Regions from separate parts of the Mus musculus genome. Here region 1 is reported to be linked to region 2. Evidence: microRNA targets listed by miRTarBase, many of them from high-throughput screens and not tested one by one. Region 2 holds a microRNA gene; the other region holds the end of a gene's coding sequence. Distances are between the middles of the regions.

The links. Region 2 holds the annotated microRNA mmu-miR-3102-5p (GUGAGUGGCCAGGGUGGGGCUG, at 1,676-1,697, shown strand). A microRNA usually pairs through its seed, bases 2 to 8, with sites in the 3' UTR of a target mRNA and lowers its output. Matches are read on the target gene's strand: a 7mer-m8 pairs with bases 2 to 8, a 7mer-A1 pairs with bases 2 to 7 and ends in A, and an 8mer does both.
Region 1: the mRNA of Siglece is a reported target of mmu-miR-3102-5p. The part of its 3' UTR that is shown has no 7-base or 8-base seed match.

What each region holds. Positions count from the first base shown.
Region 1 is chr7:43,648,730-43,652,133 of GRCm38, forward strand. It overlaps Siglece (sialic acid binding Ig-like lectin E), which reads right to left. Exons shown (of 7, transcript NM_031181.2): 7 at 2,341-2,960. The coding sequence ends at 2,757. It overlaps Ceacam18 (carcinoembryonic antigen-related cell adhesion molecule 18), which reads left to right. Exons shown (of 6, transcript NM_028236.1): 6 at 1-566. Among named protein-coding and RNA genes, the nearest start is that of Siglece, 9.7 kb to the right of the region's middle.
Region 2 is chr7:100,880,681-100,884,084 of GRCm38, reverse strand. Mir3102 (microRNA 3102) reads left to right here and starts at 1,676; the gene lies at 1,676-1,779. It overlaps Arhgef17 (Rho guanine nucleotide exchange factor (GEF) 17), which reads left to right. Exons shown (of 21, transcript NM_001081116.1): 4 at 201-317; 5 at 523-615; 6 at 793-969; 7 at 1,262-1,312; 8 at 1,566-1,675; 9 at 1,780-1,865; 10 at 2,274-2,392; 11 at 2,693-2,906.

The DNA.
Region 1 (3,404 bases), 57 Mb from region 2:
CTAATCAGAGCTGGCCAAGCTGGGGCAGATCGTGTAAGAGCTCCAGGATCTAATTCTAGGCACCGCCCCCCATCCCCCCAGTTTCCAGCTCCACATCCTTACTCTGACACTAGGGGATCTTGAAAGATTCTTCAAAGATGCGCAGATACCAATGACAGAGAAATGAAGCCATTTTAAGTTCAGACAACTGGTGTCAGTTGCTTAAATGGGTCCTACACACAGGTTTAAGAAGCACACTGGTAGAAAGGCTTCTCAATGAGGAAGGTAGTTGCCTTCTAATTATAGATGAATACACAAAGCTACATCTGATAGGGCCACAGAGGCACAGAGATGGGGTCAGAAACAGAAAGAACAGATCAGGGGCTGGAGGAAGAGTATATACTGCCTTTGCAAAGATCCCAAGTTGGGCTCCCAGCACCCATGTTGGGCAGCTCACAATCACCTGTAACTCCAACTACAGGTTATCTGATGCTCTCATCTGAACTCAGCATGAACTGCATTCACACACACACACACACACACACACACACACACACACTTGAAAATATATATGAATATATAAGAAAGTATGTTGTATATGCCCATGATCCCAGGCTTTGGAAGCTGGAAGCAGGAGGTTCGGGAGTTCAAGGTCATCTTAAGCTACATAGCACGTTCTAGGACAGCCTGGGGTACTTGTGACCCTGTCTGTTTTAGTTAGTATTCTATTCCTGTGAAAAGACACTGTGACCATGGCAACTCTTATTTTAATCGGGGCTGGCTTACAGTTCAGAGGATTAGTCCATTACCATCATGGCAGGAAGCATGGTGGTAGACAGGCAGATATGGTGCTGGAGAAAAGCTGAGAGTTCTGCATCTGGATAGGCATGGAGCAGGGAGAGAGGGTGACACTGGGCCTGGCTGAGCTGCAGAAACCTCATAACCCTCCCTCAGTGACAGACTTCCTCCAACAAGTGTATACCTCTAATAATGCCACTTCCTATGAGTGACATTTTCATTCAAACCACCACACTGTCTCAAAAAAAAAACCCAAATAAAAAAGTATAGATTAATCAACAATGATAGGCACAAATACAGATTCAGTCCAGTTTTATGTTCACATGCAAGTGAACATTTGCAAAAATGTTAAGTATTATCAGTATTTCCTCTTACGTTAGAATCTTCTTTATGTTTTGCTCTCAAGTGCTTTTCTCTCACAAAGTATATGCACTGTTTTTAAAAACCAGGAAAAAGAAACCGAGTTAAGGCACGTTTGGCAGCCCCTCAGTATCCAGCACTGCTATCTGCACTTTCTCTGAGCTACGTTCAGTGGTGCATCACCAATAGCAAAGCAGAGTGGAGCAGCATCTCTGCCAAATTGTCTGTCTGTCTGTCATCTTTTTTTCTATCATCTATCTTGTATCTACCATTTACCTTTTATATAGCATCTATCTTCTATCATCTATCTACCTTTCCATCATTATCTGTCATCTCTATGTCTCTATTTTCTATCATCTATCTATATATCATCTACTAACCCTTTTCTTTCTGCTATCTATCTATCTATCTATCTATCTATCTATCTATCTATCTATCTATCTATCATCCATCTAGTTTGGGTTTAAATGTACATTGTCCCCAAAGGCCCACATATTTGGACATTTGGTATCCAGCTGGTCGCAGTATTTTCTAAAGCCTTGCGATCTCTCAGACATGAGGCACAGCTTATAGAAGTGGGTGTCTAGGACTGGGCTTGGAAGATGATACCTACATCTAGTTCTGGTTTGAGCCTGCTGCTTCCTGATTCATCAAGATTTGGAGCCTCCACTACATGTACTCACTTGAGCACCATGTTGCCTTCCTCGCCATGATAGACTGAAACCATGAGCAAGAATAAACCTTCCTATCCTTCATGTTTCTGTCAGCATCCTATCAACAAAGACAAGAAAAGTAGCTAATACATACAACATGAAACCATAAAGGGATTGTTTGGGGAGAGAAAGGAGCCTAGCGACTAATAGGATGCTAACAGGAGAAGGGGATGAACATGGCCAAAATATGTGATACACTTGGAAGAAAATATAGCAAAGTCTATCACTGTGTAAATAATATATGCCAATTTTTAAGTAAAAATTAGATCTAAAACAGTCAATCTTATTACTGGAGAGATGGCTTAGTAGTTACGAGCACAGGCTACTCTTACAGATGTCTGGGTTCAGTTCCTAGCACCCATGTGGCCTCTCACAACCCTCTGTAACTCCAATTTCAAACTGTCTGATGACCTCTTCTGGCCACTGCAGGCAGGAGGCATGTAGGTGGCGCACAGGCCTGCGTGCAGGCAAAACATTCACACACATACAGTTACAATAAAGTCAAGTGCTGGGTGGTGGTGCACATCTTTAATCCCAGCACTTGGAAAGAAGAGTTCAAGGGCAGTCTGGTCTGCAGAGCAAGTTCTAGGACAGCCAAGGCTACACAGAGAAACCCTGTCTTGGAAAAAACAAAAGGAAGAGGGGAGGAGAGGGGAGAGAGGAGGAGGAGAAGAGGGGGCGGGGAAGGAGGGGAAGGGGAGAAGAGGAGTAAAAAGGTCAAGCTTATGATTCCCAGGGCACAATAGCAGTTGTGTGGACAGGGCAGCACAGGGGCATGGGCAGCACAGAACGCCTGTGTCACAGAAGGAATGGCTCTGAAGCCCTGTGTATCACATGTCAACCTAGGTGACTCTTTCCTTCTCCAGAGCCAGCCTCCTGGGGCCACCATGCTTTCTCCAGCCACGGTCATGGCCATGCGGTCCTTTGTGGAAACTTTATCTCTGAGTACTCCGTGGTAGTGTCCTGTTGCCCCCACAGGTTCATGGGCTTCATCTCGTGAAAGCTGAGGGTCGCATAATGTATCTCTTCCTCTGTGGAGGAGGGGGCCGCCTCAAGTATGGAAGGCAGGGGCTCAGAGCTGTCATCTGCCTGGGATTCAACCAGGGGATTCTGTAAAGAGAGGAAAGGAGAGAGTCAGAGAAGACAGCAGGGGCCCCTGGAACCCCACATCTACTCACCCGCAAACATTTTAAATTTTAAATTGCATATATGTGTGTAGGGGTATATACACATAAGGTGCAGTGCCTACGGATGCCAGAAGGTGGCATTTGATTCCCTAGAGCTGAGGTTAAAGGAGGTTGTGAGGAGCTCGATGTAGGTGCTGGGAACTGAACTCAGATCTTCTGCTGGAGCAACACACTCTCTAAACCCGAGCCTCTCTCCAGCCTCCCATGTGCAATTTTTTTTGGGGGGTGGGGAGAGGAATCACCTTCACTCCTACTTTCTGAAAACATTTAATACTTAACAAGCACCCCGTCTCCCTAGCTCCACCAGCAAGATAGTCCTTCTGTCTCTAGTTTATAGATGTGAAGCCGAGACGGAAATAAGCAACTC
Region 2 (3,404 bases):
ACATATATGTGTATATATATATACATATATATACATACACACCTGCTCATTCAGTCACGTTCATGCATGCAACATGTATGAATTTTGAGAAAGACAGAGAAGACCTGCCTGACCATTTCAAGTTAAATAGACAGAAGCCAGGACAGGGTGAAGTGGGTGAGGGACACCTGAGCCTGCCTAACCTGCTTCCTCACCCACAGTTTTCCAAAGACGTCTTGGTGAACATCTATTCGGCCTATATTGATAACTTCCTCAATGCAAAGGATGCTGTGCGTGTAGCTAAGGAGGCCAGGCCAGCCTTTCTCAAGTTCTTGGAGGTATGTGGACTGGGGTAGGGGTGAAGCTAACATGTCAGGCTAGCTCTGGGCATCCCAGGAGCTCTTGACCAAAAACATTGTGGTGCTTGCAAGTGTGTCAGCCTCTGCCTTTGGGCTCACCTGGAGGGACTTGGCTAGGAGCGTGTCTCTTCCTGCCGTGTCAGTCCTCATGTGAGAACTCCCTCCACTCTGCCTTCGGTTTCAGCAAAGCATGCGTGAGAACAAGGAAAAGCAGGCGCTGTCCGACCTCATGATCAAGCCTGTGCAGAGAATCCCACGCTATGAGCTTCTGGTGAAGGTAACCACGGGCCTGGCTGGACAGGGAGGCCCTGGGGGTCGGGGGGAGGAGTATGTCTGTTCTCAGACTCCAGGCAGGAAAGAAAGTCCTCCTTGATGCCTATACCATGGTCTCTCATGCTCCAGCAGTCAGTTCAATACCTCAGGGCAGCTAAACAGGTCTCCATTCCCGCCCCAGGACCTTCTGAAGCACACACCGGAAGACCATCCAGACCACCCACTGCTGCTCGATGCTCAGCGCAACATCAAGCAGGTGGCTGAGCGCATCAACAAGGGTGTGCGGAGCGCTGAGGAGGCCGAGCGGCATGCCCGCGTGCTTCAGGAGATCGAAGCCCACATCGAGGGCATGGAGGATGTACGTGCCCCACCCTGCCGTGCCCCAACTTGTCCCTGTCTGTGTCTTCATCTGTCACCCGGATTGTGGCCATCCACGTCCAGGTCTGTGGTCAGCTTGCTTCTGTGACCACAGTGCCCCACCCTTCTGTGTCCTCCTCCTCCTCCTCCTCTGTCTGACCTTGTGTCCCTGTCTGGCAGCCCAGTGATGCAAGCGAGGACAGGATGTCGCTCTGGCTGACCTCGTTCATAGAGTGGTCAACCGATCACTGCAGGGTTAATAGACTAATAACTAGTTCTCTCCTACCCACCAGCTCCAGGCCCCCCTGCGGCGGTTCCTGAGGCAGGAGATGGTTATTGAAGTGGTAAGGGTTCTCCCATTGGCTGTTCCCCCAAGTACCTTCAACCCACCCAAGTTCACTCTCTGGCGCCTGCTGCCCTCTGGTTCCTGCTCCCCAAGCACCACACAATGGGAGCCCTGCATGAATCCCGATTCCACATAAGTGGGGGAGAGCCCTCACCCCTCCCTTGGATTTGCTGTTCCTGGGGAACTAGGGTAATGTAGGTCGGCCTCTAGACTGTGCACACTGAGCCTGAATGCCACTTTGGACCCTACAGAAGGCAATTGGAGGCAAGAAGGACCGATCCCTCTTCCTGTTCACAGACCTCATTGTCTGTACCACCCTGAAACGAAAGTCGGGCTCGCTGAGGCGCAGCTCCATGAGCCTGTGAGTGGCCAGGGTGGGGCTGGGTGGTGCAGGCAGGAGAGCCATTGATCTATTGTGGGCTCTACTCCCTGCCCCAGCCAGAGCACCCCATTGGCTACCCACAGGTACACAGCAGCCAGCGTCATTGATACAGCCAGCAAATACAAGATGCTGTGGAAGCTGCCACTGGAAGACACAGACATCATCAAGGGTGAGGCTGGCTGAGTCTGTCAGGGGTTCTGCTGGTGGCTTTCCCCTGAGTCTGCCTGCCTGTCTGTTGGTTTGTCTGCTCTTGTGACTCATCTTTCATCCCATATGAGAGATTGGTTTTGAAGAACCGGGTTAGTTTCCATGCAAATCATCCTCTTAGTGCCCTAGCAAGTTCTCCAAGAGTTGGCCGTTCTGTGCCCTGTGACTCTAAACCAGACCTCTCCTCCCGGGCCTGTTTTTTTTTTCTGAGAGCTACCTGTTGACCTTGTTTCTGAGAGCTTGGGTCTGGAAGTGCTCCCATTTGCCAGACCAATCCCGTGCTCAGCTGAAGGCTGTGCGCTAAGGGAAGTGTGTCTGTCCAAGCTTGACCTTGTTTGATGTGTTCATGGCTTTCCTCTGTCCTCGCCAGGGGCGTCTCAAGCCACCAATCGGGAGACCATCCAAAAAGCCATCAGCCGCCTGGATGAGGACCTGGCCACCCTGGGCCAAATGAGCAAGCTCTCCGAGAGCCTCGGCTTCCCCCACCAGGTCTGTGCCCTGAGCTAAGGCAGTGTTGGCTGGGACTTCCCCTGACCTTGCCTGAGGGACAGACAGTCTTGGCTTTTGCCTGAGGGAGCAGTTGGTCCTGTCACTTATCTGAAGGGGAAAATTATAGTCTTGCTCCCACTTAAGGGAAGTGACAGGTCCGGGGTCTGAGGGAGGAGACCTCTGAGGGGGAGAAAGGCCCATCCCTGTCTGTGGCAGGAGGAGGCTGCCTTCCACGGTCCCCTCGGTGCAGGTGCCCATGTGGTGACACCTTGGCCTGAGGCCTGGGTTCTTTTCCCACAGAGTCTAGACGATGCACTGAGGGATCTCTCGGCCGCCATGCACCGGGACCTGTCAGAAAAGCAGGCGCTATGCTGCTCCCTGGCCTTCCCGCCCACCAAGCTGGAGCTGTGCGCCACCCGGCCCGAGGGCACCGACTCCTACATCTTTGAGTTTCCCCACCCGGATGCCCGCCTGGGCTTTGAGCAGGCCTTTGATGAGGCCAAGAGGAAGCTGGGTGAGCCAGAGTTCATGTTGGTGTCTTCTCTCACAGTCCCTGTGCAGTCCTGACTGTAGAAGCCAGGACTCTCTGAACTGCCCTCCTGTCCTCCAGCGGCCGATAGGGAAGGTGGCCTGAGACTTCCACAGTGAAGCAGCAGGCTGGACATTTGCTCTGGCTCCCAGCTTCTTCCTGGGGGGGAAGGAACTCCTGGACAGAGTCGTTTGGGGACAGGGACCCCAGCATACGCCTGAACCACCAAGACCTTCCTCTTCCTCAGTATAGACTCAGCTAAGTCCTGGAAAGTTATTATTAAGTCTACAGCTTAGAGATCCAGGGCTACTCATTGTACAGAAAGGAAAACTGAGGCCAGACACAAACGGAGTAATCCATGACCTCTCATTCTAGCTGAGCTGGTACCCGGCCCTCCCTAGGGAGACTGGAATGGGGAGGGACCAGAGCCACTGTAAGGTGGGTGCTAAGCAGGGGTTCTCTCCTTTTGCCCTGTCTCCTCTA